Mus musculus: one gene and its partner. The protein of the gene in region 1 binds, or shares a complex with, the protein of each later gene. Links are inferred from orthologs where the notes say so. Each region holds a gene or a part of one and is shown on either strand. Other genes may lie near its edges. The genes, in order: Capn2 and Capns1.

Region 1 (11,490 bases):
ATCATTGCTGAGACTCACCAGATGCCTGGGGTGGGGTGGGGCGTTCAGAAGCTGGAGAGCCTAGAGCCCTAATTCTCAGACAGGGCCCTCCCAATCCTGACCGATGCTTGGGTTAGTTTGAATCATTCCGATTGTTCACATTCACACTGCTTTCCCTGGTGAGCTCCTGCGGGGAGCAGCAGGCATGGCAGAGCTGGCCCTGGTGCTTCCCACTTCCTCTCAGCAGTGAAAGGATTCCCCTTCCTTCACACTGAGTCACTGCCTCCTCTCGGACCTGTCTTGGACCTCACAGACCTTCCGTTTTAGCATTGTGACCGGCGAGGGGGCAGCCCCAGGAGACAAGAAATCCAGGGAGCTTCTGAAAATGGAAGTCACCACACAGCTGGGGGAGAGAAGCCACAGAACTTGCAGTTGACACAGCACAGCTTGCTCCAGACCCCACTACTTACCCAGGGCTCCTTGGCAGATGTCTGTGCGGGTGGCTCCTCCAATAATGAACTGGGGGTCAGCGCAGATCTCCTGGAAACAAACACACAGAGCATGGTCAGCACGGTGGCCAGGAGCCTCGGTTCCCAGTGGTTGCTTCAAGCCCCTCCTCATGCTGCTCAGCTCTGAGGAACGTTTCATAGTCAGACCTCCATGCTAGGAGGAAGTCCTATGACCCTGCTCCATTACACTGTTTACCAGGGCCAGGGAATGCATCAGCATCCTCTGCCAGGTGTTGGGACCTTCCACACTAAGTGGCCCCTGCCCACCATTTTGGCAGCTTCTCTTCCGGGCATGCATGCAAGTGGTTGGGTTTGCATGACATTCATTTTGCCTACATTTTCCAAATGAGTTCACATTTCGATATCTTTTCCCTCTCCTTCTAGGATAAAGCCCCTCTCCCTCATTTATCCCCACCCTTCCCTTTGAGTTCTGTCCTAGAGTTTTTGAGAACCTAAGTCTGGTGACACTCACGGGTCCTCCTCCATCTTTCTAATACACGTGTTTCTTGGGGACGGGTTGAATCCAGCCCTTCTGCCTTCTCTCAGCACTTGGAGAATCCGTGCATTCTGTACCTGCTATGCAAACACCGCATGGAGCCTTATCTCTTGTAGCACTTTAGCGACTAAAGATGAAATCAGCTCCTATTATATGTGGAGAACACCTAAGGAGGTAAAGTGATTGCTTAAAGCTTCTCCGTTCCCCAGTGGTAGAGACAACTGGGATTTGAACTCATTGGTGTCAAGTGCTAATGCATTTATGCCTCTGAGGAGGTTGCTCCCTACAGCCAACATGGAAGATCTCGGCCCTCCCACAGGCTCCTGGGTGTGTTTCCAGATTCTGAAGAGCTCCACCCAAAAGCCACAAAGGAAGTCAGGCCCCAAATCTAAGCTGGTTTGTAGGAGTTTCGCATCTGCATAGTGTGGCTTGACTCTTGGCACTATTCTGTCTACCAGGAGTCTTCTTCCTTGAGAGATGGGTCTATCCTGGCAACCTCCAGCACGCCAGCTCACAGAGCATGCTCACTTCCTGCTCACTTCCTGCTCACTTCCTGCTCACTTCCATGCTCACTTTCTGCTTCCCCATCAGTCTGCCTGACGGATGCAGGGGCAATGAGAAAGCACTTCTGTCTGAGCAGGGAAGCCAACTTTTCCTAAGGTCTGCCAGGCAAGCACTTAACCCTGGGAATGGAGCAGACTGGTCTCAGCTCCAGGAGCCTCTGTCACACCGATCATCCAGGGGCCAAGCTCTTACCCCAGGAGGAGGGCTACCATTATACTTCAGAGACTGCCTCAGGGTCTCCAGAGAAGTCCAAGTTCAGACTTCACAACCTGGATATACTTTAGAAAACTGAGCCCTAGTCACAGCCTGTGGAGCCTGGAATTAAATATGATGTAGCCATACAAGAAAGGAGGGAGGGCTTGAGCCTTGGATTCTGATAAGGCAGTGAGAATCTCAGCCCTGCCACTTACTGCATAAGGTCTAGGATGCTGGTGGGTTACACGACATCCTGAAGCTTGTTCATCTGCATCTGCACAATGGGTTTGAAGAAGACAAATGTACCACCCACACAGGACTGTTCTCAGAGTCAAGTGAATGGCCTTGACAAGTATTCTATCATGACAGCTGAGAGGACCTGAGGTGCCATCCTCGGACGATGCTGGGCCACTCGTCACTGTGGCCTAGCATGGCCACTGCCTTCAGCCTTGGTCATGGTCTATCTCATCTCTTTGCAGTGGAGAGTTCTCTTGCCAGTGTTAGGACAAGAACTCTTCTTCTCTCCGGAAGAGTTGTCAGCCCCCAAGCCACCAACCTGGCTAATCAGCTCCCTTGCCTGCCTTGCTTTCTCTGGATTGCTTCAGCCTTTCTCAGGGGGTCACCTTTAACCCCTTCCTCTCTTATGACTCAACCTCTAGCAAACTCAAGTCATTCACAGCTGAACAACTCTTAAATCAAGCCACAAGTGTTTGTTCTCTCTCTTTCTCTCTCTCTCTCTTTTTTCTCTCTCTCTCCCCTCCCCCTCTTTCTCCTTCTCCTCCACTCTTCTTTTCCTGTACACATCCTTTTTAAATAAGTGAAACACCTAGTTCCCTTCCATTTCTCCTCCTCCAGGGTCTGCAGCCTGTCTGGTCCCTTCCCTTCTCCCATTCAATGACTTTGCTCTATTTCAGTCTCCAAAAACCAGCTAGTGACTCCAGTAGCCACTTTATTAGTATTATTATTATTATTATTATTATTATTTTATTATTGTTGTTGTTATTCCTGTTGCCTGGCCCCACCAGGGTATGACAGGACAGGTCAGGACAGCTAGCCCAACCATGAATGCAGACTTGATTTGTTCTGAGCAAGGTTGACACTCCCAAGCTTTGTTTTTTCCAACTGTCCGATGATGTGTGTAGCCTGCCCTAGGCAGTGTCCCTGAGGTGGCTCTGGAACTCTGTCTTTCTACTCAGGAGGCCCAAAGGCTTTACTATCACCTGTTGAAGGACACTTCTGCCCTCTCTGGGCTTCAGAGACAGAAACTAAGTATACGGTGCCTGGAATATAATAAGTGTTCAATAATTGCTCATTGATTGAATGGAACGTTGGTGGACTCAGATGTGTGTGGGTTGTAAGCATGCCTCAGCCTTGAGTTTCTGCTTTAACTTCCCTTCAATGATGTGCTGTAACCTGGAATTTTAAGCCAAGTAAATTCTTTCTCCCTTCAGTTGCTTCTGATTAGGGTGTCTCCTAACCACAGAAATGATAAAAAGTAAGTCGTAAAACAGTATGCAAATGTGAGGAATGTGTTCTCTGGTATGTGAATAGTCTCCCCGGCCAGGATGTCATCTGAGGCTCACAATGACTGTTCGTTCATTCATTCATTCATTCATTCATTCTTTAAACAGTCAGTGGTTTGTTGTGGATGTCTCAATGCCTGGGCTAGAGTAAGCACTCCCTAAATGCTGGTGAATGAGTGAATGAGTGAATGAATGAATGAATGAATGGATATTGAGAAGGGATGCTACTCCAGCAAGACACTGAGAGCACATGGCAAATAACACAGAACAGCTCAGCGAGAAAACATGTGACTGCGTGTGTTCATGGTGACAACCCCAGGGCAGGAATGTGCACAGGGCAGAGAGCAGCAGGGTGAGGAACAACTCTCGAAGGAGGAGACTTTGAAAGAATGTAAATGAGCCAGACTTGGGGCAAGAGCATGCCTGGGAGATGAGGAGGGTAAGAGAGAAGAGCGGGGTGTCTCCAGGAAACCGAAGCAGCCGCAGCAGCTGCACCAAGTGTGGTAGACAAGAGAGAAAACAGAGTGGCCTCATTGGTCTTATTTTTATCTTCATTTAATGTTGAGACACAGTCTTACTGTGTAGCTCAGGCTAGCCTAGAACTTACTAAACAGCCAAAGCTACAAAGTGTCTTGAGGGCTTCAATCAAGGGTGTGTACCACCATGCCCGGCTGAGGTGAGGAAGGGAGAGCCAGTGATTCACCCTGGGTACCCAGGTGCTCTGAATCCTGTTCCACAGAGACTTCTCTAGTCTTCCTTGCCACTTATCTTCAAATTTGAGTCAAGTTCTCATGTGGTCCAAGCTGGCCTCAAATGAACTCACTGTATAGCCAAGGCCAGCCTCCATCTTCTTCTGTTGTTATTAGTATTTATTTTGTGTGTGTGCACATTCGTGCCTGTGAGATTCTGCACGTGTGCGCCACAGTGTGCATATGAAGGTCAGAGAAAAATTTTGGGGGAGTTGGTTCTCTTTTTCCAGGTGGGTTCTGCAACAGAACTAAGGTCATTAGAAATGACCACCAAAGCCCTTACTCAATGAGCCATCTTTGTGGCCCCAGGCTTTGAATCTCTCATCCTCCCATCTCCACCTCCTGAGTCCTGGAATGGCAGGCATATATTAGCATGCACCTGATTTTATATGGTGCTTGGGATAGAACCCAGGGCTTCATGCATGCTAAGTAAAGACTACCAACTGAGCTATACCCCCGCTAGTCTCTGGTACTTTCAGACTAGACTCAGTAACAAAAGCAGCCTGGGGGAACCAAGAGGATAGAAGCAGGGTATGAATGTCCATTGTCCTAACAGGAATCTAGAAGTTTAGACTTCCTCTCAGTTCCTGGGAAAAGTCAAGTGAGGGTCCCATGGGCATCCACTGGCGATTGAAACCACAAGGGAACGGGAAGGGCTTAAGGGCAGAGACTCTGAGGGTTAGGACAGGAGTATCTAGGAGTTGAGCAGAGGTTTCCGGGTGAGGACTCTAGGTCAGCAAAATAATGAGTAACAGAATCATTGGAGCCCATCGATTCTTTAAGCTACCCTTCAGTTCTTTAAGTTAAAGAGTCCTCTAACTGCACTTTGAGAGCCAGACAAAACCCACGCTGGATAAATACATGTACTTGCATTTACAAGTGCCACATGTACTTGTGACCACCTTTGTCAGCCAGAGCCAGGCTGTGCCCACCCCTTGCCCCCACCCACCCAGCAGTCCCGAGTCTTCTATCCTACTCTGATATCCCCACCCCCACCCCTACTGCCGAGCAGTGTCTCCACCCTCACTCAGATCACCACTAGAGTCCAGTAAAAGTTTCACCCCAGCGGCCCTGTGTCCCTGCGGCTTTGTGAAGCCGAAGGCAGCCTCCAGGGCGTGTCCACTAATGGGATTTGGGGTCCTGTCCTGCGAAGCGCTCTGCGCGCAGCTTGGGGCAGGTCCACTGGCTGGGCCTCAGTCTGCATAGGGAGTCCCCTTAGCAGCAATCGCGGAGCACTACTAAGCAGGGACTACCGAGCCGGGGAGCCAGGGACTTGCAGCCTCCCGGAACCCCGAGTGCCCTTCCAGGCCCTGCCGGCCCTGCCTGTTCCCCTCGCGCTTCCTACCGTGGGCCGCTTCCATTCGATGCCCCGAGTTTTGCTGGAGTAGGGCCCCAACTCCTTATAGCCCAAGGATGACGGCAGGGCGGGGAAGGAAGGATCCTGGAAGAGCGCCCCGGCCTCCAGGCACTCGTTCCGCAGCGTCTCGTAGTCCTGGTTGAGGTACTTGATGGCTCTCTCATGCGACCCCAGCCCCTCGGCCGCTTCGCGGTCCTTGGCCAGCTTTATCGCGATGCCCGCCATGGTAGCGATCCGGTTGGCGCACTGCACGGAGAAAGGGGTCGCGGAGAGGCGGGGCACGGCACTCGGCTGGGGCGCGGCCGGGCCCGGGGCGCTGCAGCGGACTGCGGGAGCCGCTGCTGCGGGGATGATTCACCGGCGGGAAGCGCCTGGGCCGTGCGCGGGGTGTGGCCTCCGCCTCCCCAGGCCTGCTCGGCGCCGGGCTCCGGACGCGGCTCGCCGGCGACCTGCACAGTGCCAGCCCGACCGTGAGGACTACGGGGCCGATGCTGCCACCTTCGGACGGCTCTCGGGATGGCGCGGCCCGGTGGGGAGGGCGAGCGGGGGGTGTTGGGGGGACGACAATCGCAAGTTGGGGAGCGAAGTTGTCAAACCCCAGCCATTGGGGAGTAAGGCTGGGCGAAACTCAGCAATGACTGTCCAGAAAACATCGGATGAGTCAGGAGCGGATGAGGGAGGGAGCGCGGCGACTAAGCCAGTTGCCACTCATTGGGCTCAGGATCGAAAGAGAGCTCTGCAGGCTCTGGGCACACATGTTACCTACCACCCCCAAATTTGTGAGAAATGGCTACTGGTGTGTCCATCTTACAGATGAGAAACTGAGCTCCAAAGAAGTTCAAAGATGTAACCCCTACAAATTAAAGCAAGACAGGAATTTTAGGGTCCCAGGGCCTCTGCAGTTACTTATTTGTGCATAAGTAGGGCTGTACAATTTGACAAAAACAAAAAACAAAAAAACAAAAAAACAAAACAAAACAATCCATGCTTGTTAAATCTAAATTTCAAGAAAAGGGGCTGGGGGATTGTGTGGTTTTAGCATACGTAGCCCTCAAATATCACCCGAGGCAAACCTGTGTTAGAATAATAATGTGATGCTTATCTAAAACTCAGATTTACCTGGGATGATTTATTGAGTTGCTGCTGGGACACCATTTAGAACAGAGCCCCTGTTGGTGGCCTGTACCACCGCTCTGTCCAATGAAAGTTTTCGCTGCCACTCACACACACAGAACTGGGCGGGCTTGTGCTATGAATGGTTTAAAGCACGGGTTCTCAACTGGAAGCAACCCGCACGCACCAATGTGACCCTAAAGGTTTTTGACCCTAACTGCAGACTTTCCTCATATTGTCACAACTGGGACAAAGGAGGCTCCTGGCCTCTACTGGGTGGAAGCCAGGTGCTACTAAAGGATGGTCGGGCGGAGGGCATCCCTCTACAGAGAGAACAGGAAGAAAAGTGCAGTCTGAAAGATCTCTGTGCCAGGCTGAGAAACCCTGGTTTGAACCTCATCTTGGTTCAGCATTGATGGTTTCTGAGATAGTTTGTAACTCTGTCAGTTGCAGGAAATTGTAGCAACTTGAAATATCAGTGATATGCAAATGACTGTTCCTGGAAGAATCAAAGTGTCTGTCTCCCTGTGGCAAAGCCAGGGCTTGTCTGTTGATACTGCTACCTCACTATTCTCTCCTGGGCATGGCAGGTGTCTGGGATCTTCCCCCACTTCCCTTTTGAATCCTGAGCCCAGAAAAAATCAGGGTGGGGCCAAAGGAAATCAGATGGTGGGAAAAAATGAACAGCTTCCGGAAAAGAGCCATGAAGCTTAGAAACCACCATGCTGCAAACAAATGCTGGCTGTCGAGCATGGTAGCCCATGTCTTTAAATCCCAACACTTAACATGAAGTGCCTGACGGGCCGCGCCCAGAAGGTTCTACCCAGCAGTAAGCTGGATACATACATGCTAAGGGGAGGCAGGGATGGGGGCAGATCTCCATGAATTCCAGGCCAGCCTGGTCTGCACGGAGTGTTCCAGGCTAGCTAGGGCTATACAACAAGACCCTGTCTAAAAAAACAAAAGTACAAACAAACAAAACATGAGGTGTCTGGTTACTCCATCTGTATTTGTCAAATAAAATCTTTTAAAATGTGTTCATTTGTATCAATATGAAGCCATAATTTTAGCTTTAAGAAAGATTCATTCCTATTTAGCCTCGTTTCTGTATTCTTGTCTTTAACCGGGTGTCTACTGTTGCCCAAGGCTGACTCACTGCTTCACTTGCTCAAACTTCACTTGGGATTCTTTCTTTCCTTAATGGTTCCCCAGATCTGCTTCCCCCAGGATGGCCCACACACAAATGAAACAGAGGGCTTCCAGCCCACTGTCACCAGCTTCTGGGAAGGGGCCAACGATAGCCAGAACATTCCTCTACTTGGCTCGTCATTTCCCAGTGTTTCTCTTCCAGATTCTCCCTGACTCTGCTTGTCCCTCCTCTGCCACAGAAAAAAAAAACGGAGCCTCCTCTCCCTTATTTTTCTGTTTGAACCTGAGGTGCTTGCAGAGTCCTGAGAGGGGGCCATCCTGCCCAGGATCACAGGTTGGAAAGGCAATGTCTCCCTACCTCAGTTTGACTCTATTTGATATTCTCTGTCTTTAGGTTTCAACTCCCAGCACTTAGCCTAATAGGCACACTGCATGTCACCAGGCTCTGTCTTGTCTTGTGGGACTGAAGGAATTGAAGACTACCACAGTTGTTCTTGGTAGTTCAGGGGTTTCCTGTGCAATGGCTTCAGACGCTTCACAGCCCTTTCCTGGAAACTTTTAATTTTCCCACTATCTTATTTCCATTGGCCCCACCCTGATTTCTGCCCGGCTCAGGGCTCTTGGAAAAAAGTTTGTCCCAAACTTGATATAGCAGGAAGTTTGGTTCCTCCTCCCTGGCAGCTGGAGACCAGGCCCCCCTCCCCAATCCTTCTAGCTACAAAAGCCTGGGCAGGCTACGCCCATCACTGCCAACGAGTCAGAAACTTGCAAGACCGAAGCTTTCTTTGCAAGGCGGAGGCAGAAGAACATCCCTTCTCACCCAGGGCTTCCTCTTCCGGTTTAGCGACACCCTTCACGGTGCATTCAGGCAGGGCAGCCGACCAAGCCAACTGTGAGCATAGAGCTCTGCTCCCCAAAGGCCCCAGACGGAGTCTAGTGTTACTGCAACAAATCTGCAGACACACAGAGGAATGGCTGACCTCACTCTCTGGACAAGGACCAGTTTGTAACCTGAGTCAACCCTGTTCTTTATGCTTCTCGAAGTTTCCCTCACCATATTTTCTCAGGGGAGTTGGCCAGGTCTTTTCTTTCTCTGGCCACATGACCCCTGTCAGGGAACCATAGCCACATACACAGATCCCCTCTTTCCAAATGAGTCATCCCGCCCAGAAGGGTATTTGTGAATCAGAAACAGCTGGCATATCTGGAATATGAGAGAGAGAGAGAGAGAGACAGAGAGAGAGAGAGAGAGAGAGAGAGAGAGAGAGAGAGAGAGAGAGAGAGAGAGAGAGAGAGAGATGCAGTTTTTGGTTGCACTCACAAACTTCACAGCTGGCTGCAGGAAACCCTCGCTCCCTGTTTTAGGAGGACTGTGGCAGTAGCTGGCGTGTGGTGGACTGGACTAAGCCTTACTCTGAAACCTTACACCACAGCAGGGCCTCCCTTTCTGGCTTCAGACAGCAAAGGACAAGGCAGGTGGAGTACGAGGCACAACTATGCTTTCCTCTTCTCCTTGTTTCAGGTCTGTGGTGTGACTTCAAAGCAAATCACAGACTAGAGGAATTCCACAGTGTTACTGAAATCCACTTGGAGCTGTCGTTCACTGGTAGATCAGTTATCTAAGTGTGCACCAGTGGGACCAGCTGAGCACAGACTGACCTCTCTGGAAGCCTGAGTTCCGTCTCCTGTATCAATGTACAGGAGACAGAAACAAAGGACCTGGTTTTGTGTGACAAGTTTGTTTGAGCATTAATGTCCCCACCCCAGGCTCAGATAGTGAATGCTTGGTTCCCAGCTGGTGGCTCTATTTTGAGAAATGGTAGAAACTTTAGCACGCAGGTCTTAGTCAGAGGAAGAAGTCACTGTAGAGTGGCCTTTGAAGGGTTCATATACGGCCTTCAGGTTCTTCTTCTCTGATTGCTTCCTGTCTACAATGAAGGGAACCCCTTTCTTCTCTGCGGGTTCCTGCCTCACCTCAGCCCTAAACCAGTGGGACCAGCTGAGCACAGACTGATCTCTCTGGAAGCCTGAGCCCACCCAAGTCATTCCTGCCTTTCACCTATTCTCTCAGGCGCTCGTTTCACAGCCGTGGAAGGCTGAGTAGCACATAGTATGACTTCCTTTCCTCTGGAGAGATTGTATTTATTAGGATTTATTCTTCTCTCAAGACTGCAGTGTGTGCCATGAAGCAGAGAGGGCTCAGGAGGGTATCCGAGAGCCGAAGGGAGATCAGACAGGTTCTCCTTAATGTTGCAGATGTGAAAGGCCTGGGGCTGGAAGAGGAGAGGAAACCGTTTGAATCAAGTTCCAGACACCCAGCTGCTTTCTGAGTCTTTGCCTGTGTCACCAGCCTGCACGCAGGGCCACAGATGAGGGCGCCCCTTAGGCACCAAATTCCCTCTCTGAGAGGGACCTTCACAGGAGTGTCTCACAATGGCAGATTTGCTAAGGATGAATTCCATCTTCACTTGTAGGATCCCTTGCCATTTTCAAAACGCCAGCCCCTCCACCCCTATCTTATCTCCTTCCTATACCTGGTCATTTTTGCCAACTTGACACCAACTAGAGATAACTGGGGGTGGGTTGGGGGCCTCATTTGAGGAATTGCCTCCTTCAGATTTGCTCCTGGGTATGTCTGGGGGTGTATTTCCTTGATGACTAATTGACAGAGGAGGACCTATCTCTCTGTAGTGAGTGCCCACCCCTAGACAGGTGGGCCTAGGGTTATATAAATAAGGTCACTAAATGTAAGCCTAGAAGACAGCCAGTGCTCAGTGCCTCCTTGGGGCTCTAATTCAGTGGTTGCCTCTAGGTTCCTGCCTTGAGATCCTGCCCTGACTTCCCTCCATGATGGATGTGGTGATTTGAATAGGTATGGCTTCCATAGACTCATGTGTCTATGTGTCATGCTTGGTCATTAGGGTGTGGCACTATTAGGAGTTGTGGCCTTGTTGGAGGAAGTGTGTCATTGTGGAGGTGGGCTTTGAGGTCCCCTATGTTCAAGCTACAGCTAGGATGGCTCAGTCTCTCTTTGCTGGCTGTGAATCAAGATGTAGACCTCTCAGCTGCTTCTCTAGCACCATGTTGATCTAAACTTTTGAAACTGAAAACTAGCCATAATTAAATGTTTTCCTTTATAAGGGCTGCCAATATTCTGGTGTCTCTTCACAGCAATGAAACCCTAACTAAGACAATGAACCTGGAGGGTGAAATATGCCTTTTTCTTCCGCAAGTTTTACTCAGTTGGTATTCTATAAGAGCAACAGAGAAGGAAACTTGTCTGCTCAAGTGGAGACCCACTGTCTACTTTGCATAGTCAGAGTTGTTACAAGTGTCAGCTCAGGATATCTGTGAAATGCTTAGGTGTTGCCACCATTGCCACCATCATCATTACCACCACTGCCAGCAGTCATAGCAATGTCACCTCTGTGTGAGAGCCCCGCTGATTCTCTATCTTCATAGTCCCTGATGAAGAGAATAGAGCTGGAGAACTACACTGCCCACTCTATGGGCACCACAGTGTATCAGAGAGTTATGGCCCCTGCACAGCTTCCATCAGTAGTATCCCAAGTCCTCCAAATCAATGTTTCTTACCAGGGCAAGCTGCTCACTAAGCAAAATAGCCTCAAGGCAGGCTCCAAGACCATCTTTTTTTTTTTCCTTGCAACTCCATCTACCATCTGCACTTTTTCAATTCCCAAGTCCCTTCCAAGTCGAAATTCTAGAACTTCTTGGGTATATATGCTCAAGTTCACATGGCAAGAGGCCAGTGTGCTAATTGGTCGTTTGGCTCCTGAGCGTACAGCCTAGATGGTCAGAGTGTAATTTCTCCCAACGTGCTACATAAGTGCCAGTT
Region 2 (11,377 bases), on another chromosome or scaffold:
TTGTTGATGGAAGTTAGCGCTCGCTCCACAAAACTTCGAAGACACGTGGTGATGATACACACTTGTGATCCCAGCACTAGGTGAGTTATGGTAGGAGGATCTTGAGTTCACTATTACCTTCAGGTACATGTGGGAGTTCAAGGCTAGTCAGGCTACATGAGACTCTATTAATAATATTAGGAGGAGGAGGAGGAAGAGGAGGACGAAGAGGAAGTTAAATCAATAAAATGTCTAATCCTGTGAGCATGTGGCATTTTTAAATGAGGCACAGAATTCAGGTATTATAACACAGTAAAAGAGTATACACCCATTATTCTTGAGGCATGGGGTTCAATCCCTGACATCTCAATAAATAAACAGGCAAAGTGATATGTTGCAGATCACACGACAGACAGACAGGACAGAAAACTGACTGGAACCCAGGCCCATCCTTCCTGACACCTATGCTACAACCTCCCAGCTGTAACCCAAAACAGGCCCCTAAAAGGAGGTAACTTGCCAATCTTGGCCTTAGCGTCTAGTGTGGTCCGCACTCCTGCCCTGGAACTTGAATCCATGCCTTCTGTCCACAACCAAACCAAGCCAGCGTTGCCCACACTACATCTGTTCCTTCCTGTACCAAGGCTGAGTCACCACCACCTTCAGGTGGCCACATATGGTGTCCTTGGTGCTACTGGTGCCCTGGCTACCACAGGTGAGAGGACCTTTCTCCTTAAACTTGTTATCCTCCTGCTTCTATCTCCTGCTTGCTGGATTACAGGTCTGTCGTATTCAGGTTAATGAGTGCCTGGTCACAAACCCAGGGCTTCACGTATGCGAGGCAAGCACTCTCCCAACTAAGCTAGATGCTAGCCCTTTTAACTAAGTAACTAATGAACTAATCTTGGTCTGAGATGTAGTCAATGATGACCTTGAACAACCGATCATCCTGTGGCCTCAGCTTTTTTAAGTGCTGGGGTCACAGATGTGCACCACCACACCCAACGTCTGTTTTCACTCTTCCCTTGGCTGCCAGATCAAAGGAGCTTTGTAAGCCATGGCTGACTCTGCCCCTTTCTTGCCTAGAAACTGCTATCTTGGCTCTACAACGCCCACGACTATCCGAGCGCTGCCCCTGAACTTGATATCCACAGCACTGCACAGTACACCCCTGACCATCACTCCTGTTTTTTCTCATTGCTCAATTAAGTTCTCAGGCAGTCACAGAATCAAATTCTGACTTTCCATCTTCCTGGTTGAGTAGCAGCTAGGAGCAAGTGCTTGGCTCGGGAGAGTGTTGGGTTCCACCCTAGCAGGAGGACAATAGTTCCCATTTTGGAGGTAGTCTTACATCAATCCTAATAAAAGCTCTCACCTCAGAGTCAAAAGTTCAAGGTCACTCTCAGCTACAAATCAAGTCTCAAATCAACCCGAACTACATGAAAACGTGTCTCAAGAAACCAGGCAAGGGGCTGGTGAGATGGCTCAGCAGGTAAGAGCACCCGACTGCTCTTATGAAAGTCCTGAGTTCAAAATCCCAGCAACCACATGGTGGCTCACAGCCATCCGTAACAAGATCTGACTCCCTCTTCTGGTGTGTCTGAAGACAGCTACAGTGTACTTACATATAATAAATAAATAAATCTTTAAAAAAAAAAAAAGAAAAAGAAACCAGGCAAGATGGAGCTGGAGAGATGGCTCAGAGGTTAAGAGCACCTACTGCTCTTGCAGAGGATCCTGGGGTTCAATTCCCAGTATCCACATGGCCATACAAGAATCTCAGCCAGGGGCTGGTGAGATGGCTCAGTGGGTAAGAGCACCCGACTGCTCTTCCAAAGGTCCAGAGTTCAAATCCCAGCAACCACATGGTGGCTCACAACCATCCGTAAAGAGATCTGATGCCCTCTTCTGGTGTGTCTGAAGACAGCTACAGTGTACTCACATGTAATAAATAAATCTTTAAAAAAAAAAAAAAAAAAAAAAAAAAAAGAATCTCAGCCATACAAGTCTCAGCTGTCCCTGCCTAGTGAGCCCAGCATTGCTGACATTAAGGTTAGACCTAGAGGAGCCCTTGGCCAATGAAGGTTAGCAAATCCCCACCCTCGCAGAGATCTAGAGTGACACTCACGGAACATGGCATCTAGCCTGACCAAGCAGCTGATGAAGTTATCGAAATCCATGTTCCCGCTCTCATCTGCGTAGCGCCGGATGATCATGCTGTAGAGATGCTCATTCAGGTGGAATCCTGGGAAAACAAAACAAAACAAAACAAACAAAAAACGGTTTGGTCTCAGGGCCCCAGCACACAGGCCTTCTCTTTTTTTGTTTTTTTGAGACAGGGTTTCTCTCTGTAGCCCTGGCTGTCCTGGCACTCACTTTGTAGACCAGGCTGGCCTCGAACTCAGAAATCCGCCTGCCTCTGCCTCCCAAGTGCTGAGACTAAAGGCGTGCGCCACCATGCCCGGCTTCACACAGGACTTCTCAATCTCCAGTACAGTGACGGTGTGACTTTGCTCACCCCATCCCCTGCCCATCATCACCCCCTGCCAGCACACCTGCTGCCTCAAAGGCCCCTGGAAGTTCATGGCTACCGATAGTCCCTGATCGGTCAGTATCAAAGCGTTTGTATATAGCCTAAGGATAGAAAAGACAACAGTCGGACCAAGCATCATGGAGCATGGGGTCCCCATGGCTTGGGGGATCAGATCCTGGGAGTTTCAGCGGCTACCACTTACCTGCCACTTTTTAATGTTGTTCCAGAGGTATTTGAACTCCTCAAAGCCCAGCTTGCCTGTGGTGTCGCTCTAACAAGAGGTTGTTAAGAACCAAGTGACAAAATGCAATGTGTGTGTGTGTGAATGCCAAAATGCTAACTTTTCTTTCTTCCATTCTCCCTTTTCTTTTCTTTTCTTTTCTTTTCTTTTCTTTTCTTTTTTCTTTTGGTCTTTTCACGACAAAGTTTCTCTATGCAGCTCTGGCTTTCCTGGAACTTGCTCTATAGACCAGGCTGGTCTCCAACTCAGAGATTCACCTGCCTCTGCCTCCTAAGTACTGGGATTAACCCTAATTCGTACTTTAAAAAATAAAATAAGGGCTGGAGAGATGGCTCAGGGGTTAAGAGCCCCCTCTCTTCCAGAGGTCCCAAGTTCAATTCCCAGCAACCACATGGTGGCTCATAACCATCTATAATGAGATCTGGTGGCCTCTACTGACCTACAGGCATACATGCAGGCAGAACACTGTATACATCATAAATAATACATCTTTAAAAAAAATAAAATAAGCTTAGAAGGCTAGATAGTCAGGAGTGCTTAATCTTCTTGCAAAGGACTTGGGTTTGGTTCCTACAATTCAAAACATGCAGCCCACAACCACCTGGAATTCCATCTCCAGGGGGTCCAACGTCCTCGGGCCTCTGAGAACACGTGCACGCACATGCAGACACACACACATGCACGTGAGTAAAAGTAAAATAAGCCAAGCGGGCATGGTAGCACATGCTTATAACTCTAGCACTTGAGAGGAAGATCAGGAGTTTGGCTTTGGCTACACACTGACTTCAAGGCCAGCCTAGGCTTCTTGAGACCCATCTCAAGAATCCAAAAATACTGTACAATAAAATAACTAGTAATCGGATGGTGGTGGCACACTCCTTTAATCCCAACTTGGGAGGCAGAGGTGCGCAGATCTCTGAGTTCGAGGCCAGCCAGGTCTATAGAGTAAATTCCAGGCCAGGCAAGGCAGAGAAATCCTGTTTCAAAAATCAATCAATCAATTGATCAATCAGTCAGTCAATCAATATTGCTTAAAAGTAAATAGAGAAATAAACGAAGCTTAGATTCTCAAACCAAAACTCCCAAGTCCAAATTCCTATCCTGCAATGTATTCTCTAAACGACTGTTTCTGCTATCCAAGCCTCAAGTAGCCCCAAGACTAGCTTTCAAGATCAGATATTCATGTCAGGTAAATTCTGGGCGGTTTGGCCAGAGACAAAACCACTGTGTCTCTCTGAGCCTGTTTCCTTTCCTATTACATCGTCTTTATCTAGCAAGGTATCTGTAAAGGTTGGATCCACTAATCTAGGTAAAGTTCCAGCTGTAGCAGCTGATATTATTTATGGTCACGTAGGTAAGTCTGTGTCCTCCAAGTATGAAGGCTTTCACCTTGGCCGTCCTCAACATATTCCCAGAAGACCCTCTTCACCCAAGGCATTCTCCAGGCTGGCCCCAAAAGGATACATCCATGACGGCCACCATGCTCCGACAAGTGTCAATGCCAAAACCATCAGTTTTCAGATCCGGGTCTGAGGGGGGAACAGGTTGAAGGTCAGAGGTCAGAGACCATCCCAGCCCATATGCCTCTAAACCTTCACCACACTCTGACCCTGGTCACTCACGTCGGGTCACGACCTTGTTGAGGATATTCATGAGTTCTGTGGCGCTGACCTCCATGTCCTGACGGCAGAAGGTAAGTACAGTTCAAGGGAGATGGAAAGGGTCTGGAGACCATAAACCGGGATGGGAACTTCCGGGTTGTCACAGTCAAGTGACAGAGTCAAGCGGTCAGGCAGGATACTTACGTCTCCAGCCAGCTGGACAAAAAGTTTCCTGAACTGACGGACTTCTTCACTCTCGTTGGCCTCAATATTGGAGTAATGACTACGTGGAGGCTGCAGAGAGAGGCGATCTCAGAACAGAGATGGAGAAACAAGTGTCCCAGGGAAAAGTCAGAGAGGGCTGGGCAGTCTGAGGGCCAGGGAACCTGAATTAGGTGTAGCAAGTAGGCGTGGCTGAGACCCAGGGTTTAGCTTAGGGGCCCTCAAAAAAATGACATTATTAACGGCAGGGGGTTTCCTAAGGAAGGAGGGGGAGCCTTATTCATAGGAATGGGGAAGATGAGGCGGGCAACAGGCCTGAGGAGGAAGGGTCTCTAGGTCTGCTTACCGGAGGCTCCGGGTTGTACTGCGCAGCAGCCTCGCTGAGGGGAGACAAGGGGGCTGAGTTAGCGCATGGGGGCAGAGCCTCCAACGGGCGGCAGAACGGTCAGCCAACCCCTGAAACTCCAGCCCTCCTCTTCCTTAAGGGGTTCCCTCCTCCCCTCGTCTACCTCATCGTCCTGACCTGGTCCAATCAAGAGAATGGTCTGACCCCTCCTTTCCCTCCATCGGGCCAACCTCTCCCACCTCCCAAGGGCCCACCCCACGGAAGAATCCTTTCCTTGCCCAGGAACACCCACCAATCACAATGTCAGAAGCATCTTAGCCCCAATCAAAATCCTGAAAACCTTAACAAACTTAGCAGGGCCCGCCCCTTGAAGAACTCACTTCACAAGGGGGTCTGTCTGCACCAGCTTTCCTAGGCCTCATCTTCCTCGGGTTCAGTTGTCCAGAGTCTTACTCCATCGCTCCTTTTGCAGATTATCTAACTGCCTAACGTCTACCTCTCCCGCCCCCCATCAGCCCCTACTCCTCCCAGGGATCAGTGCTTGGATCACCAACGATATAGGTGCCAGCCACCTGTTCTAACCCCAGCAAAGGATTTTTACCCACTAAACCAATCAGCTCCAGACCCCACACAACCTTCTCTGGACCATTTCTTCTTTGGGGACTCTGATCTCTCCTAAAACAGCAAGCTCCACCTCGCTCAAATCTTAAGCCATGGACAGCCTTAGATCCACTGGCTGCGCCCCCAGTGAAGGCTGGATACAATCCTATAGAATTGCACCTTCCCCAAACACAGAAGAGCCCCTATCCCCAAGAAACTGCATCCTATTTGTTGACCCACAGAAGCAGGTTTACTAATCCTGGTACTAAAAAGTGACACCAGCCTCGCTAGAATCCCCTTAGGGCCAGTTTTCCGGTATGGATCAGCCCAGACTAATTAAGAATTCTCAGGTCGGACTCTAAGTGAGTCTTTATTATTTGGCCCGCCCCGCCCCTTCAGGCCCCGCCTTACCTGATGGCGCTAATGACTCCGCCCAGGATGCGCATGGCAGTTCCACCGCCTCCGCCACCTCCTCCCAGTCCCATGCCTCCACCGCCACCGCCGCCGCCGCCAGCAGCTCCGCTGATCAGGCCTCCGAGCACATTCCCCAGGCCCCCGCCCAGACCCCCGCCTCCCCCACCGCCACCGCCGCCCTTCAAGAACGAATTCACCAAGAACATGATCGCAGCTGAGTCCTGTAAAGTAAAAGGGGTGGGTCGGGTAGTGGCCTTGCCAGGAGCCCAGCCCTTCCCGCAAAAAAAAAAAAAAAAAAAAAAAAAAAAGCAAGCATTTCCGGCAACTAGATTGGGGAGGAAACTAAGGCCTCGAGATGGGGACAGAGCCTCTAGCTAGGGGTCTGGACAGGTGATAGGAGATGTGAAACCTCCTAGGGTCTAGAAAGTACCCTGGCCCAGGCTTGACTGCATATATATAGGCATGAGGACAGGGGTACAGCTGGGCGTGCGTGGTAGCGCTCTACTGTAATCCCAGAAATTGGGAGGCTGAGGCTGGAGGACCAGTTCAAGGCCAGCCTCGGCTACAGCGCCTGCCTGCTTTACCCTGTCTTGAGGCAGCGGGAAAACAGGGGATTCTCGTGTAGAAACCCTAAGGTGTGTAAAACCGAACGTGTCTCAGATCCAGGCCTTCCAAAATTAAGCTCAGGGTAGGGATGACCCAGGGCTGACCAGGAAGTTCCTAATGTGGATTAAGACATTCAGATACTCTCGACAGAGGGACTACACTGTCACTACGGGATCTGTGGGCTCCGGCCAAAAATTATGGCTGTGCGCCCGGAGGATCCTGGATAACGGAGTTCTTCCCACCGCAAATGGGAACCACGATCTCGGATTGTGGTTCTAGACGCCCAAAATAATTTCCGGGTATCTCTCTGATCTTTGGGCTTATATTTTTTGGTCGTCAGATCCGGGATGGTAAGGAGTGTTCTGGAGGGGCTGACAGGCCCGATGGTTCGAATCTGAGAACACCGGTCCTAGGACCCCCCAAGGGCCAAGACTTTAGGGTCTCGCCAGATCTGAGGACTACGGATTCCGGATCTACAGGGTGCAGGGGTGCTGGACTGGAGTGTCCCGTCTCACTTACGGATCCGGCGGTCCGCGGTCTTGCTCGCCTGCTGCAGGGCCTCCGCTGTGTCCGGTTCGGGAGGGCGGGGCCGGTGACTCAGGCAGCTACTCCGGGTTAGACCCTGCCGCCACCCAGCCGTCGTCTGCGCGGTCCTAGAGCCTCCATTGCAGACTGCGCCTGCGCGGGAGGGTTATGGTTGCAAGTCTCTGCTTAGCTCATCCGTCCCCATACACACACTGCTGGAAATTCAACGCTGTCCAGATTAAATAGCTTTGAGTACGAATAAATTATTCTAACGCCCAGGTACTGGAGCCTCCAGGAACTAGATACAGGGTACCCGGTCACCGTTGCAGTATATAGTTGCAAAAAAGGACTTCAGTTGTCATTCATTCATTCATTCATTGTGCACTTTGAGACAGAGGTTTGTTAAACATCCTCTAAATGATGACCTAAAGCCCTAGCTAACCTCGAACTTGAAACAATCCTCCTGCTTCTGTTTCCCGAATGCTAGGAATCTACATCTTAAGTTTACCATCAGTTTGTGCCTCTCACCCAGGTCGCTGTTGGGCTTCTAGTCTGGCTGTCTGGCCACTCCCTAGGAACTATATAAACCTCGGTTTGAGTCTTTATTGCTCATCCCTAAAACAGTGACCTGGTGTCTCTGAGTAATGACCTCCTCATGTGTAAGGCGGGAACATAGCCAGGCGTGATGACACACACCTGTAAAACCAGCACTGGGAGGTGAGGGCAGGCAGCCATTCTCAGTACATAACAAGTTTGTGACCGGCTTGGGCTACATGAGACCCTAGAGGACACTAGGGTAAGCCCCTATCAGAATTAAGTGATAAATACATAGTAAATGGCAGCTCTTCTGTTAGTCCCTATGTCGCCATGTTGTTCCCTCAGCTGGGAGCTCACCTGGTTCCCTTAGCTCGTTTACTCTTGCTCATCCTTAAACAACATCGACAAATACCTGCCGGTCCCTAAATACTCTCCACTCACTAGGTTGTGTGTCCTCGAAGCAGGCCTGTGGGATAGGTCTGTTATTGTCCCCATTCTATGTATAAGTAAACTGAGGTTAAACAACCAGTCTGCTTTACCTGTTCAAAGAATCTCCGATAACTTAATATGATAATCAGTCAAATAAGATCTCAGCAGACAAGACCGTAATTGCACTAACGCCACCTAAGGGCTTGCTGGGACCAGGCCAGGTAATCATTGCTCAAACCTGTGTGTGTGTGTGTGTGTGTGTGTGTGTGTGTGTGTGTGTGTGTGTGTGTGAAGCAAGATTTAACCTGTCGAAACCGGAAACTCTAAAAGGCGGGAGCACAGAGGGTGGCGACCCAGGCCTAAGCCTTAGCGGATAAATCATTTGGTGATGACTAATGTGGATTCCCTCTCTGCCACACCCCTCCCTGCCACACTGAGCAGTCTGACCTCAGGCTCAACTCGCTGGCATAAGCCCTGTCCTCTGCCTACAAATACTCCTGTGTTTGGACTTGACTGTCTGTGTCCTCCACTTTGGACCAGAGCTCAGACATCTCTCATTTGGGAAGACCTCTTTGTCCTCACATCCACCCAAGGCTTGAAGAGGCTGCCAGCTTCATGCCCTCAGACCAACAGTAAACATGATGACACATGCCCAGGCCTCAGAAGACTCAGGCAGGCGAGCTACACCACAGGGTCTTATCTCAAAACAACGATTTAAAAATACTTAAGGGAGCCTATCGTGGTGGCACTTGTCTTTGATCCCAGCACTCAGGGGGCAGAGGCAGGGAGAACTCTGAGGCCAGCCTGGTCTACACAGTGAGTTCCAGAGGACAGACTGGGCTACATGGTGAGACCCTGTCTCAAACAAACAAAAGAAGGTTCATGGGAGTTTTGCTTGGGGATGGCTCAGGGGTCAAGAGTCTTGACTGTTCCTCCAGAGGACCCGGGTTCAGTGCTGAGCACCCACATCAAGCAGCTCCCAAGTGTCTCAAGTCCAGATCTAGGCTCCCTCTTCTGGCTCTGAAGGCGCTGGCACAAATGTACAAAGTCATGCATGCAAGCAAAACACACGTACAAACAAAAATAAAATAAAACCCATTTTTCACCATACACACTACCCAGTGTGGTCATATTGTCCTCTAATTCTGTCTCCCTGAGTCCCAGTTGCCGGCATCTGTGAGCTCTAGGTATCGTCCCTCTGTCCATTCAACTTGTGCCTGCCATCTGGTACCTCCCTGAAGTATTTTTCAGTGATTTTTGTCCCCTGTGTGTGTATATTTTGTGAGGTGGTATCATATAGCTCAGGCTAGCCTCAATCTCACTGTTTAACAGAGAATGGCTTTGAACTGATCTTCCTGCAACCACCCTAAAAGTTCTTGGGGTTACAGGAGTGTGTCTGATCCCACGTGTCTTACATATCATCTCCAGGCCACCAGCCCCCAAATCCCTATCTTCAACCTGGACAAGGCTCAGGACTCATGGCTTCTCTGTCTTGCTTTTGCTTCTTGTATGTCTGTGTCTGCCTTGTGTGTTCTGAGATTCAAACATGGATCCTCTGCTGGAGCAGCAAGTGCTCTAACCACTGTGCCTCCTCACCAGCTACTTGCTGCTGTTTACTTGTTTGCTTGTTTGCTTGCTTGCTTGCCTTTGAGACAAGCAAGGTCTTTCTGGGTGCCTGAGGCTGGCGTTGAACTCATGGCAATCCTGTTTAGCCACCTTGATGCTCTCATTACATTACAATCACACTTCACTGGTCCCAACTGTCTGCCTCCATAATGCCCCACTGTTCCACCCTGTCAGCAAGTCTAACTGGCTCCTCCTGCACTCTCAATGCTACCTCCCTCCCTGCTCACCCCCATCTCCCACCCCTTCACCTCACCTTCACCCCACCTCTAATTCCTCCCTGCCTCTAGCTGTCACCAACGCTTCCTGCCTAGTCTCTGGCCCTATAACCTGCAAACAAAGGAAGCCTGGCTCAGGCCAGATCCCATCTGTGCCTGGTACACCTCATTCCGGAAGAGTCAGAACTCCCTCCCCAGGGAGGGCCGCTCCGTGGTACAGCACAAGGCAGTGTGCATGAAGGCCTAGCACTTAAAAAAAAAAAGTTTTTCACTCAAGCCACAAGGTCTTTACTGACCTGTCCTTTCACCTCCCTGCTACTCTAAGTCAGTACAAGGTGGCTAGGCATCGCGCCGCACTCCTTTAGTCCCAGGAGGCAGAGGCAGGCTGATCTCTGCGAGCTTGAGGCTCTACCAGCAAGCTGTGTCGGGACACGGAACTCCATTCCAAGACCTCTCTTTTAGAGCTTCCTGGCAGTGAGGGAGAGGGGTCTTCTCAGATTTCTAATTAACTCCATCACACACCACTTCGTTTTCTTTCTTTCTTTTTTTTTTTTTTTTTTATGAAACAAAGTCTCATTGTGTAGCCTTGCCTGGCAGGGAACTTGCTATACAGACCAGGCGGGATTGGAATTCAAAGATTCTCTGGCCTCTGTCTCCCTCCCGGCTGCTGGGCTTAAAGGAGTGTTCTACACGAGGAGATCTCTCCACCTGGTTCTTTAATCCCAACGCTTGGGAGACAGAGAGATATGTGTATGAGCTGGAGGCCAGCCTGGTCTCCCCCACCTCCCTTTGAGATCTGGAGATTAAACTCGATTTGTCAGCCTGGCACCACTGAGTCATCTGGCTGGTCTCTTCCAAATGCAAATTTTTTATTCTGCGCGGTTTTTGCATGTAATATTAACTCGGAAAGAGCTGCTGTCTTCACCACCCCTTGCTCACCTGTTGCTCCTCATCCACTTTTCTCCTGGAAGGTTTCCAATGACTCTCACAATCCTTCACGCACAATAAACTAGACTGCAAGGCTGACTTCGTCTCTCTTAGCTTGCCAGAGTCTCTGCCCTCTTACTCCCCCTACTGGCTAGACACAGGTGTTGTGGAGCCAAACTGCTGCCTTAGGAGTAGCAGGGCCATAGGGAGAAGCTGAGTACTTGGTGGCTTGGCATCATCGCAAGTGCTTAAACTTTGGCTGCTGTGGAAGAAAGAGGTAGAATTCTATTGTGTTGAATTGGCTATCATTCTGAGTTCTGTTTTTAGGGTTTATTTTATTATTTTTAAAATTGTTTTATGTGTATTGGTGTTTTGCATGCATGCATGTCCAGGGTGTCAGATCCCCTGGAACTGGAGTTACAAACAGATGTGATCTGTCATGTGGTTGCTGGGAATTGAACCTGGGTCATTTGGAAGAGCAGCCAGTGCTCTTAACTATTGAGCCGTTTCTCCAGCCCCTAGGGTTTATTTTAAATCTTATCTACTCTAAAATGCTCACTGTATACACCGTGAACA

Evidence for each region.
Region 2: the proteins of Capn2 (region 1) and Capns1 are in contact, whole or in part, in a crystal structure (PDB 1KFU), measured with the Homo sapiens proteins. The link is inferred for Mus musculus from reciprocal best matches to the Homo sapiens genes CAPN2 and CAPNS1. Residues at the interface, in NP_001739.3 of Homo sapiens: Ala2, Gly3, Ile4, Ala5, Lys7, Leu8, Ala9, Arg12, Glu13, Glu16, Phe60, Arg366, Arg416, Arg417, Arg418, Arg420, Asp494, Ile516, Phe551, Glu575, Lys578, Val581, Asp582, Asp585, Gly588, Ser589, Gly590, Gln641, Leu642, Gln644; in NP_001003962.1 of Homo sapiens: Thr85, His86, Ser88, Asp111, Asp112, Met113, Glu114, Ser116, Thr118, Asp142, Arg145, Ser146, Ala149, Val150, Met151, Asp152, Ser153, Asp154, Thr155, Thr156, Gly157, Gly160, Phe161, Glu163, Asn206, His208, Leu209, Met212, Ile213, Arg215.

What each region holds. Positions count from the first base shown.
Region 1 is NC_000067.6:182,511,758-182,523,247, forward strand, and holds the start of Capn2 (calpain-2 catalytic subunit), read right to left. Parts: upstream 5,854-11,490; 5' UTR 5,598-5,853; coding exon 5,361-5,597; intron 520-5,360; coding exon 450-519; intron 1-449. UniProt on the Homo sapiens protein: Calcium-regulated non-lysosomal thiol-protease which catalyzes limited proteolysis of substrates involved in cytoskeletal remodeling and signal transduction. Proteolytically cleaves MYOC at 'Arg-226'.
Region 2 is NC_000073.6:30,187,945-30,199,321, forward strand, and holds the start of Capns1 (calpain small subunit 1), read right to left. Parts: upstream 7,210-11,377; 5' UTR 7,062-7,209; intron 6,158-7,061; 5' UTR 6,143-6,157; coding exon 5,934-6,142; intron 5,805-5,933; exon of another isoform or gene 5,303-5,804; intron 5,257-5,302; exon of another isoform or gene 5,144-5,256; coding exon of another isoform or gene 5,100-5,143; intron 4,957-5,099; coding exon 4,923-4,956; intron 4,649-4,922; coding exon 4,559-4,648; intron 4,434-4,558; coding exon 4,376-4,433; intron 4,283-4,375; coding exon 4,218-4,282; intron 2,784-4,217; coding exon 2,715-2,783; intron 2,614-2,714; coding exon 2,535-2,613; intron 2,225-2,534; coding exon 2,108-2,224; intron 1-2,107. UniProt on the Homo sapiens protein: Regulatory subunit of the calcium-regulated non-lysosomal thiol-protease which catalyzes limited proteolysis of substrates involved in cytoskeletal remodeling and signal transduction. Essential for embryonic development.